3 linked regions of the Saccharomyces cerevisiae S288C genome follow. The protein of the gene in region 1 purifies or fractionates together with the protein of each later gene. This does not show direct contact. Each region holds a gene or a part of one and is shown on either strand. Other genes may lie near its edges. The genes, in order: RPL22A, NOG2 and RQC1.

The links.
Region 2: the proteins of RPL22A (region 1) and NOG2 purify together in Saccharomyces cerevisiae (affinity purification with mass spectrometry; 2 studies listed by BioGRID). This does not show direct contact.
Region 3: the proteins of RPL22A (region 1) and RQC1 purify together in Saccharomyces cerevisiae (affinity purification with mass spectrometry; 3 studies listed by BioGRID). This does not show direct contact.

Annotation. Positions count from the first base shown.
Region 1 is NC_001144.5:261,529-264,558, forward strand, and holds RPL22A (60S ribosomal protein eL22 RPL22A), read left to right. Parts: upstream 1-1,665; coding exon 1,666-1,677; intron 1,678-2,066; coding exon 2,067-2,420; downstream 2,421-3,030. Other genes in the region: FRS1 (phenylalanine--tRNA ligase subunit beta), read left to right, coding at 1-1,238; BMT6 (25S rRNA (uracil2843-N3)-methyltransferase), read left to right, coding at 2,629-3,030.
Region 2 is NC_001146.8:720,520-725,111, reverse strand, and holds NOG2 (putative GTPase NOG2), read left to right. Parts: upstream 1-1,999; coding exon 2,000-2,809; intron 2,810-2,900; exon of another isoform or gene 2,901-3,174; intron 3,175-3,341; coding exon 3,342-3,992; downstream 3,993-4,592. Other genes in the region: RNA-binding ATPase activator ESF2, read left to right, coding at 806-1,756; CCR4-NOT core DEDD family RNase subunit POP2, read left to right, coding at 4,465-4,592. UniProt on the Saccharomyces cerevisiae protein: GTPase that associates with pre-60S ribosomal subunits in the nucleolus and is required for their nuclear export and maturation.
Region 3 is NC_001136.10:1,132,608-1,137,168, forward strand, and holds RQC1 (Rqc1p), read right to left. Parts: upstream 2,825-4,561; coding exon 653-2,824; downstream 1-652. Other genes in the region: IRC3 (double-stranded DNA-dependent ATPase), read left to right, coding at 1-463; chromatin-remodeling protein SWR1, read left to right, coding at 3,325-4,561. UniProt on the Saccharomyces cerevisiae protein: Component of the ribosome quality control complex (RQC), a ribosome-associated complex that mediates ubiquitination and extraction of incompletely synthesized nascent chains for proteasomal degradation.

The sequences.
Region 1 (3,030 bases):
TCGAGTTTTATAAATCTCCAGAACAGAAAAACAACATAGGGAGATACGTTCACATTATTGAGGATTCTCCAGTCTTCCCAGTTATTATGGACAGCAAAGATCGTGTTTGCTCCCTGCCACCATTAATCAATAGTGAACATTCGAAGATCTCTGTGAACACCCGTAACATTTTGATTGATATAACCGCCACCGATAAGACCAAAGCCGAGATCGTTTTGAACATATTAACTACAATGTTCTCACGTTATTGTGACGAACCATTCACGGTTGAGCCTGTAGAAATTGTCTCTGAACACAATGGCCAATCCCGTTTGGCGCCAAACTTCAACGATAGAATTATGGATGTCTCCATTAAGTACATCAACTCCTGTCTTGGCCTAGATCAATCCGCTGATGAAATTGCTCATTGTCTAAAGAAGATGTCGTTGCATGCCGTTCAATCAAAGGAAGACAAGGACATCTTGCACGTTGACATTCCGGTAACTAGACCTGATATTTTGCACGCTTGTGATATAATGGAAGATGCCGCTGTCGGTTATGGTTTCAATAATTTGCCAAAGGGTGAGAAATTATCCAATGCCAACTTCATTGCCAAACCATTACCAATCAACAAGGTTTCTGATATTTTCAGAGTTGCATCCTCTCAAGCCACGTGGGTTGAGGTTTTACCATTGACCTTATGTTCGCACGATGAAAACTTTAAATTTCTAAGACAATCCGACAATGGTGATTTAGCTGTCAAATTGGCCAACCCAAAGACTTTGGAATACCAAGTTGTTAGAACCACTTTATTGCCTGGTATCTTAAAGACAGTCAAGGAAAACAGAAAACATTCCTTGCCAATCAAAGTCTTTGAAACCGGTGACGTTGTATTTAAAGACGACAAACTAGAAAGGAAGGCGTACAATGAACGTCACTGGGCTGCCATCTACGTGGGTAAGAATTCTGGGTTTGAAATCATTCAAGGGTTATTGGGTAAAATCATGCAAACTTTTAGAACAGAGTGGATTGCAGACTACGGTGCTGCTGCTTCTGGCAGAGGTTACTGGATTGAAGAAGACGATTCTGTGAAAACCTACTTCCCAGGTAGAGGTGCCAAGGTCATGTTCAGATCCAAAGAAGGCGCTGAGCCAAAGCAAATCGGCCACTTGGGTGTCTTGCATCCTGAAGTCATGATGAATTTCGACGTTCCATTCGCTGCATCCTTTGTAGAGGTTAATGCCGAAGTCTTCCTATAATGTAATGTTCTAACAAAAATTTTTACTGATTTATAAAACTTATATAGATAGATAGACACATATATATATCTATATATAGAAACACAACTAAAGTTTACCATGTTTTATATAATATTACTACCGCTACTGAGTAAATGTTTAGCTTGTACTTAACTTTCAAAGACAGTTTTTTTGATAAACATCAGTACATTTAATAATACATCCATACATTTATGTTAATTTGTTTTTCCTTTCCACCTCAGTGCGCTTCTCTTTTGAAAAAATCCTCAACAGGCCACGCGAACAAATCTTACCGAGAATTTCCTAAAATGTTTCAAACTATCATTTAGCTGCATACAATATGTACATTATTAATTGAGATTAACAACTTTACCTGTACTTTACCGTTATCAAATTATAAACCACCAAAACAACAGATTAAGAAACAATGGCCCCAAACGTATGATACTTTAAAAGGAATCCACGCCCGATTACGAAGTCTATGTTTTACTGTTATTGTAATGATTGATTGTACGCGAATAACAAGGAAGATAGTAAAACCAAAAAAAAAAAAATAAAAATGTACGAAACGAAGAAGCGTCTATGTGTTTAGTTGCTTTTCTGTATTTTAAAAATTCACTACTTGAACATTGAACTCTATATCGACTCCCTTCTTTTTATCCGTTTCTGAATGTTTTTTTGTTTGAGATTGTCATATGTGATTGTTAATAGCAGTAGGCAACTTTGTGGTTTCGGGATTGAAAGAAAATCGTGAAATATTCGTTTTTTACTAACATTACTGTTCTGAAAATTTTTACTAATTTTCAATCTTTAATTTTTTTGATATAGACTTCCAGAAAGCAAAAGATTGCCAAGACCTTTACCGTCGATGTCTCTTCTCCAACTGAAAACGGTGTCTTCGACCCAGCTTCCTACGCTAAGTACTTGATCGACCACATCAAGGTCGAAGGTGCTGTCGGTAACTTGGGTAACGCTGTCACTGTCACTGAAGATGGTACCGTTGTTACTGTTGTTTCCACTGCCAAGTTCTCTGGTAAGTACTTGAAGTACTTGACAAAGAAGTACTTGAAGAAGAACCAATTGAGAGACTGGATCAGATTTGTCTCTACCAAGACCAACGAATACAGATTGGCCTTCTACCAAGTCACTCCAGAAGAAGACGAAGAAGAAGACGAAGAATAAATTCATTAATATTATTTTAAATAGAGCATAAGTTTTGTATAATTAAAATCTTCTAAACCTAATAAATATGTTTAATGAATGATTCAATATCAAAAAAAGAAATCCATTGGGCCCTTAGTGCATTTTTATTTTTTTTTTTTTTTTTTTTTTTTTTCTCTTTCTGAATTAGAGTACATCTCATCGCAGGGTCTCTTTTTGCACGTTTTTGATGTTGCTTATGAGACGCTTTGCCTTTTTAACTTCTTCAGTATATTTTAAATATATACCAATTTATTCACAATATCATTACTCTTCTCAGTTTCCAATTAACATGAATCCTAAAAAAGTGGCCCAATTGCCCGTTCACAATAAATCAACGCTTCCACCACAGGAAATAATCGATCTTTTTAAAATAACATTCTTAGAAGAGCTATATCCAAAAGATCAAGACAATGAAAAGTCACCGTTAACTGAACAAATACAGGCGGTAAAATCTGACCTTTATAACAGAGATTACAATGCTGCTTTCAATAACGACTCGAAAAGAATAGCATATTGTTGTCGTTGGTCACCGTCCAGAGCAACAAGTTACGCATCAGTATTTGCACATTTCCCTGAGCTTCTAAAGATT
Region 2 (4,592 bases), on another chromosome or scaffold:
TGATGGATACTCAACGAGGCGTACCAGTAGCATTTTGCCATCTTAACACATTAGCAAACGTTGCTATTATTGATCCTTCCATAAGTAATTTCACACATCCATTTTCGTCCCTAAGATAAAACAAAGTCTCACAATTCGTATATTGATATTTCAAACCCCAAAGCCTGTAGCCTTTTGATTATGACCGACTTCCCAGACGTGGCCATATTGATAAAGGTGCTTTCTGATCAAAGTTAGTATTAAAGAAAGGGTAAAATTCGTAATATCGTAATATTGTAATATGAACCAAAAACGTTCACAATGTGTAGGATGCACTACCAAATAGGTTGCGTTGTAGTACTCATCTCTCGGTTGCGCGACTAGAAAGTTACTAGAAAACTCCGGAATTCCTTATAATATACTGCAATAATGCACATGTATCTTTTCAGTGCAAATTAATTATAGGAACAAACAGATAGCGACAATTCTTTAAGGGCTGCTGGATTGACAACCCCTTCATCGACCATATTTGATTAGCCAGCCACCAAATAGCGTTTCAATTGACAAACTACATTATCTCGTGAAGAATATTTAAACGGTGATATTGGGTCTGTCTGATCACATTTCCAAAGGCAATGACGTGTAAATTTTTTCTTTCTCTTGTTTTATTATTTTGAATTACTTCGTTATAGCCAGCTTTTCTCACATTGCGCAGTAAAACTTTCGCTATTAAGATTTTGAAAAATTTCAACCTGACAAACTACCCATTGCTATGTAAGTACAAAGCAAACAGTTTACTGCAGCAGAGTGAAGTAAATTTTTACGCATGAGTGAAAAAGTAAATAGTGACTTTGAAGACTTTTCCTCAGATGAGGAAACCGATCAACATAACGTCTTAATTCAGACCAAGAAAAAAATTTCTAGTAAGGATGATATCTTCAGTAAGAAGGTAGAAGACATCGAAAGTGAAAACGAGTCAGACATAGAAGAAGAGCAAAAACAAGAAGAAAAAGAGGATGTAGAACAACCAGATAAAGAGAATGGAGAAAAGCTCGATCGAGAAGTAGAAGAACAAGCTTCGTCCACCACTTCACTGGATTTAAAAACAGAAAAACTAAGGCAACTGGTAAAATCAAAGGCCGCCAAGAAGTCTAAACACAAGACTGGGGTGGTATACTTCTCCAGTATTCCACCTTACATGAAACCTGCAAAAATGAGACAAATATTAACTCGTTTTGGTGAGGTAGATAGACTATTTCTAAAGAAAGAGGACGATCAAAAGTACAAGCAAAGAGTTAAAGGTGGAGGAAACAAGAAAAACAAGTATGAAGAAGGTTGGGCCGAGTTTATTAGGAAAAGAGACGCCAAATTGTGTGCGGAGACGTTGAACGGGAACATTATTGGTGGCAAGAAAGGTACTTTCTACCATGATGATATCCTGAACGTGAAGTACCTCCCAGGTTTCAAATGGGCAGATTTGACTGAACAGATTGCCCGCGAGAACGATATCAGACAGGCCAAGTTGGAGATGGAAATCTCGCAGGCCAACAAACTGAACGCGGAATTCATTAGAAACGTGGAGCAAAGTAAGATGATACAAAACATTAAGAACTCTAGGAAGCGCGCCGGAAAAGAAGGAGAGTCTGCAGATTCTCACCCTCACAGGGAATTTAAACAACGTCGTGTGGAAACAAGCCGTGCCAATGCTCCCTCTGATATCAAGCAGCAATCCTCTGGGTCCAAAGACTTGGGTAATGTTCTCACCAATTTACTATAATATAGAATCAATAACAAATATATAAACACAACCTGTCATTTAGCACGTTTTTTTGCCCGATGCTCATCGCAAAAATTTTTCGCTTGAAGAAAAATTTTTCACTTTTCTTCTTTTTGGGCATATAAAGAAGCGTAGAATATATAAAAGATATTTACTACTTGTTAGTACTTTCCCTTAAGTGTTAACTTTGAAGATCTGTTGACTTGCAGCAAAACCACTAAATATCAGGGGAGGAATAATACAATGGGTACTGGTAAGAAAGAGAAATCTAGACGTATTCGTGAAGGTGACACCAAAGATGGTAATCTTCGTGTGAAGGGTGAAAATTTCTACAGAGACTCCAAGAGAGTCAAATTCCTGAATATGTACACTAGTGGGAAGGAGATCAGGAATAAGAAAGGTAATTTAATTAGGGCCGCTTCTTTCCAGGACTCCACAATACCGGATGCGAGGGTCCAACCAGATCGTCGTTGGTTCGGTAACACAAGAGTGATATCTCAGGACGCACTGCAGCATTTCAGAAGTGCATTGGGTGAAACCCAAAAAGATACATATCAAGTTCTTCTGAGAAGAAATAAGCTTCCCATGTCATTGTTGGAAGAAAAGGACGCAGATGAATCCCCAAAAGCCAGAATTTTGGATACCGAAAGTTATGCTGATGCGTTTGGGCCCAAAGCCCAAAGAAAGAGACCACGTCTTGCTGCATCCAATCTAGAGGACTTGGTCAAGGCTACAAATGAAGACATTACCAAGTATGAGGAAAAGCAAGTCTTAGATGCCACATTAGGACTAATGGGGAACCAGGAAGACAAAGAAAATGGGTGGACCTCCGCAGCAAAAGAAGCTATTTTCAGTAAGGGTCAATCCAAACGTATTTGGAACGAATTATATAAAGTCATCGATTCGTCTGACGTGGTAATACATGTTCTAGATGCAAGGGATCCATTGGGTACCCGTTGTAAGTCCGTGGAAGAGTATATGAAGAAGGAAACACCACACAAGCATTTAATTTATGTTCTTAATAAGTGTGATTTGGTACCTACCTGGGTTGCAGTATGTTAACTTTTTTTTTTTTTTTTTTGATTCTTTCCAACCAAGAGGATAGCACGAGAGATTTTTTTTTTCGATAGAGTATGATTTTTATTACCAAACCTTTTTGTCAGGGTGCTTCTCTATCCGTTTTAGGATAAACTTATCTACAGAAGTGTCTGTTACTGTTTTGGAAGAGTAATACTGTTCGCTTATCCATATTTCCCCGTTCTGGGGAAGCCTCATGGGTAAATTAGAAGGACAACCTTTGTTTTAAAGGTATACCTTCGCTTTTTAGAACAGCGAGGATCTTATGAGTTGAGCTTTTGTTATTTGAGACTTTATCTCGGGCTCCATACAATATGTTCGTAGTAAAGATCCTCACAATTTTCTACTTTTTTTTTTTTTTTAGTTTAATCCACTCTTCGAAACAATCAATCTCGGCTATAACAATGATTATTACATTCTCTTGGGGCAAAAGATTACCTATTATGAAACAAAATGTATTTTTTACTAACAGAAGGTTTTTTTTTTTCAATTCTAACTTTACAAGTAGGCAGCTTGGGTCAAACATTTGTCAAAGGAACGTCCAACTTTGGCGTTTCACGCATCTATTACCAACTCTTTCGGTAAAGGTTCGTTAATTCAGTTGCTACGTCAGTTCTCACAGTTGCATACTGATAGAAAGCAAATATCTGTAGGGTTTATCGGCTATCCAAACACTGGTAAATCGTCCATCATTAACACATTGAGAAAGAAAAAGGTGTGTCAAGTTGCACCAATCCCTGGTGAAACTAAGGTCTGGCAATATATTACTCTTATGAAAAGAATTTTTTTGATTGATTGTCCAGGTATTGTGCCGCCTTCTAGTAAAGACTCCGAAGAAGACATTTTATTCAGAGGTGTTGTCAGAGTCGAACACGTCACACACCCAGAACAATATATTCCAGGTGTTTTAAAACGTTGTCAGGTAAAGCACTTGGAAAGAACTTACGAGATCTCAGGATGGAAGGATGCCACGGAGTTTATTGAAATTCTGGCAAGGAAACAAGGTAGATTACTGAAGGGTGGTGAGCCTGATGAGTCTGGTGTTTCTAAGCAAATATTGAATGATTTTAATAGAGGTAAAATCCCTTGGTTCGTCCTTCCACCTGAAAAGGAAGGGGAAGAAAAACCAAAGAAGAAAGAAGTTGAGAAGACGGCATAGAGGTAAAAACGGACAACCGGTGTATAATATTAATTTAAGATTACAAGTGATTTTTTTTTTCTTTTTTTTTGTTATTTTTTTTTTTGTTCTTATTATATGGCAGCAAACATTCTTGGGGAAACAACATAGATGGGTAATTATTTAGTTTATAAAGTATAATATTCCAATAGAAAACTTAAGTTCGGTAATGATATAGCCCTCTCTATAGTATAAGGTAAATCTCATTATACCAGTCATTCCAAACGGAATTCGGTCCTTACCCGCTGCTCGCTCTTTTTTCATCATTATGATATTTTCTTTATTGAGTCTTTTCAATTATAGTAGTAGAATGATAACTGACAAGAAAGATCAGTTTGAAGTTTATTAGCGTGTCTCGTTATCAGGGCTTCCTTGTTTTTCATACTGGAAATACTTCGAACGATTAGAAACAGGCAACTCAATTTTATACATTTATAAAGGGTCAAAAAGGATTATGCAATCTATGAATGTACAACCGAGGGTATTAGCTGTAGGAGGTGAGCAGTTTTTCTCTCAGAGGCAGGCTTCTGAACAACACCAGCAGCAAAACATGGGACCTCAGGTGTATTCGCCAAAGGTTAA
Region 3 (4,561 bases), on another chromosome or scaffold:
AGACAAATTGTCGATGGTATATCATCTAAAAATGTATCGACAATTACCGTGTTTTATAACAAATAAATACGCGGACTATGTTCCAAAAAGTATAATAAAAGACGCTAATCTTTGGAATGTAATGTCAAAGGTGGAAAAAATCATAAATACTCTAAATTCGGACTTGGAAGGACAAACAATGCAATACCAGGCAATATCTAGTAAATACTCGAAATGGAGACAAACAGTTCCTACGTCAAAACAAAGAGACTTTGTTTTCAGAAAGCTAAAGAAAGTATATGGTGAGTCCTCAAAAGATTTTATTAGATTATCTTTGGATGATGTTACTACTTATGTAAATACTAAGATGACGAAAGGAGATGCTTCCAACTTAATCTTTGCCAGCAGTTTGGCACCTGTCTACCCGTTGAAATCATTGTTACGAATATTAGAATATCAAAAAAGAAGATCTTTTATAAAGTGAAATCCGTAGCTACATAAATGTGCATATATTAATATACAGTCACTAGTACATATGTAAACGTCGGACCACTCGTATATGCATTTTCTTTTGGATCACACCCTTTCTGAACTATGCAATGAATAACGTTAAATTCAAATAAGTGCTTTAGCCTTACTCTGCGTACTAGAAAATGAGCTGCAACATTTCTTATTAACCCTCATTTTCATTTGACTCTTCATTTTCATGAATGTACTGTTGCAAAGATATTTGTCTAATTTGATTCAACAGGTCCTCATCTTGCATTCTTTCTGCCTGAAGGACAGCTAAATCCTTTTCATTAATAAAGGTTTTGATGTTTTCAACCACTTCGATTGATTCTTTTGACGTAGGCATTGGTGGTAATACGTCAAACTCATATACTTCATTATCAGACCAGATAAATGATGGAATTGCAGCCATTACAGAAGACTCCTCAGATAGTATGGCGAATCTTAATAAGTTAATTGGGATTCCCGCAATAAAGAAAGGTGATTGCAAGTTGTTAATGTTATTGTGATCTTGCCCATCATTTGAATCGATTGTAACGTTTCCTCTATGGTAATCCTGTAAAATACTCGACATTTCATCATGCAAAAATGTTACCTCTTCGTTTCTATTCCAAAGTAACGGGAAGCGGGCCATATATGCCTTTAATTCCAAGTTTTCTGCCGAATGGCCATCAATGGATAAATCTTTAGTTAGCGCATGATCGCCCAAGAGTTTCTCCTTGAAAAGTTCTGACAGTTGTAAAGGATGATGCTTAAAGGCTTTTAGAAGCGCATTGCGGGCGGAACTCATCTCATTTATTCTTAGGAAGCTTAGTACTACCGCCAAGGAAAATCCTAAAGTATTCCACTGTTTATAACAGTTCATTAATGGAGAGTTGGATAATTCTATAATGTACTGATAGTCATTATTCAATAGAAAATAGTGATCGAGGAAATACCTGCATCCTAAAGGATCTTCCAATGGGCTCAGTGACCAGAGAACTTTTGTCCATTCACTAGCAGTTCCTATAACACCTCTTTGAGCAAGAGATTGGATGTATCTAAATATTGCCAAGTAAAACTGTCTGTTGAAGAAGTATATATAAGGTAGTTGACAATTCAAGGAATCGAAAATAATATTTGCTTTCAAAGCTCTATCAAAGACAAAGAGTGCTCTTTGTAACAATCCATTAGTGTTTGATCTATCACCTTGCCTAATAAATATCAAAGCAACTTGTAGCAGTCCAGGCACATGATACGGAAATTTAGAAGAAATCAAATTTATAAGGGCTTCATGATCAGGGTGAACAATAACACTTAAGTAGAAGTCCATCATTGATTTCTTGCTCAGGTCGGAATTTAAAGGTTCGAACTTATAAAAAGAAATGAATTTTTGCCACTGACTGACATCGTTTTGGATAACATCCTTCCAATCTAACGGCCTTTCCCATAATTGCCAATCTAAAAGATCATCAGAACTTAAAAGTTTCATAGAGAGCTCACCTCTTTGAGTTGGGATCCAATCATCTCTGATCTTGGTAAACTTCAAATGTTGCGGGTGCATTCCGGGGCCATTAGGTGCCAATCTATGATCTTTTCCGCCCCAGTTTCTAATTAATCTTTTCAGTCTCTGAATCTGTTTCAGCTGCTGAGGGGAGACAGGTGTGGATGTCATCGAATCAATATCTTCAAGAGACTCTGGAGATATATCGTCAAATAAAAGTTTGAATTCCGTATGGGGGTCCAATTTCTTGAAATCATTTTGAAAAAATTTGCAAGAATGCCTCAAACATGAAATGGGGAACTTTGTGAAGCCCGGATCACTTTCTAAGCTTAAAAATGACTTCCAAGGTTGGCTAGATGCTTCCTCTGGTTCAGATGCCGTGAAGAAACCTTCCTCATTAGTGTCATCATTTTTAGTCTTACCGTACTTCAATATATCAGTTTTTTTGAACTGTTGGATAATCTTGTCGAATTCTTCATCATCATCATCATCATCGGAACCCTTGTCTTTTGCAGCCTCGGCGGTATGGTTTTTTTGCTTCCTTTTTGCCTTTTTATTCTTTTTCCTTCTAGAAGACTTGGATGCTAGTGTAATTCTTTTAGGTTGACCATTACTTTGAGTATCACGCTCCCCAGCAGCAGCAGCTTCTTCATCCTGCTCAGACATTTGTCCTTCATCAGTGCTATTATCTGAATCACGTACGTTATTCATCATAGAGAAGATGTTCTCCCGTTTCTGAATATTACCGGCAGTACTTTTACCACTCGTCATTTTATTCGCATTTGAATTCGATAGCAGCGACTCTAGCAGAGCATTATCATCTTGTAATCTCCTTAATGCTCTAGAGCTCATGTTCGAGTACTTTACAAATATATTTAGATGATTCAACGACCTGTATGTTAACCTTCAACTGGTGGACTGTATGTACTACCTATGGACATTTTTCACTATACGTTGATGCAGTAGTGAACATATTGCTCGCATAATGTTACCCGTTTATACCTCTATACGATTATTAAGGGAGGGTAATACTTTCTCAATTTTTTTTTTTTCAGTTTTTAATATTATTTCCTTAAGATTTTTCGGTGGCGTTTCGCGACAACTTACGAGAAAAAAAAAAAAGAGGAGACTTGAAGAAAGAGTGCAAAGGGATAGCGGGATTCTAAAGTGTTTACGTGCAAAAAGGATAGATTTTGAGCTTTAAACTAGATAAGACCCAAAGCATTCGATTACTGCATTTGAGAGGTATTCAACAATACCATTTTAACTCTTAGAAAATATTTCCTTAAGCTGAAAATTTATGAATTCTAACTGCTCTTTGCATTTTCCAAGTTATTGCATTACAAGAATATATGACCACATCTCGTAAATCGCATGCGAAAGACAAAAAGGCTGGTGGTGAACAGGATCTGGCGGATTTGAAGTTTAGGTATGATCTTCTGACGAATGAACTGTTCCATTTAAGAGAGTTTGTTTCATTGGTAGATTATGATCCAACCCATTTTAATGATTCTGAAAGTTTTCAGAAGTTTCTCAGGGAAACACACTTGTCGTTAGAGGAGAGAGGAGAAAAATTCACTGATGACGTAGCCAAGAAAGGCACGAATGGTGATCTTACTCGCAGAAGGCGAAACCTCAGGACATCGACAGTTGTTAGTTCAGAAACGACTAATGAGAAAAAGGGTGATATAGAACTGAAGTTAGAAAGCATAGCACCATTAGTACGAAATAAATGTGAGGAGCTAAAATACAAACTAAGTGATCATTCAAATAGGAAATCTATAGTACCGCAAAAAAGACCAATACAACATTTGAAGAAGAGAGAAGCAGCGAAGTCCTTGAAGTTCAAAAGTGAAAGAAAGGAAAATCCACTGCCATTGCATGAACATATAGCTGAAGAGAGATATGATCACATCGCAAAAGTTGAAGAACCCTCTGAAGCCTTCACTATAAAGTGTCCTTCTGATGATAGCTCCTTTGAAAATACTAGTGAACATTATAGTGATAATTTTTATTTCACCACATCATCCGAAGAGGAAGATATAAAGAAAAAAAGAGGTAGAAAGAAAAAGAAGCCTAGAATAAAACTGGTAGTCCATCCTCCAAAGCAAACCATAACGAACCCGTTGCATGTAGTCAAGCCGGGATACGAAAGCTTGCACGAATACATCGCTTCCTTTAAGTCATTAGAAGACGATTTAACGCTGGAAGAATATAATAAATACATCGACGAACAAAGACGGCTTTTATCGAGACTCAAAAAAGGTATTGAAAATGGCGCATTGAAGTATGACAAAGAAACGGACTCACTACAACCTATAACATCCAAGGAAATCAAGACTATCATAACATATAAACCAGACCCGATTTCATATTTCTATAAACAACAAGATCTGCAAATCCATACCGATCACTTAATTAACCAAGGTATTCATATGAGTAAGCTGTTTAGAAGTTCAACAAAGGCAAGAATAGCAAGAGCCAAAAAGGTTTCTCAAATGATAGAACAACATTTTAAACACGTAGCCGGAGCAGAAGAAAGAAAGGCAAAGGAGGAGGAGAGGCACAAAAAGTCGCTAGCCAGGTTCG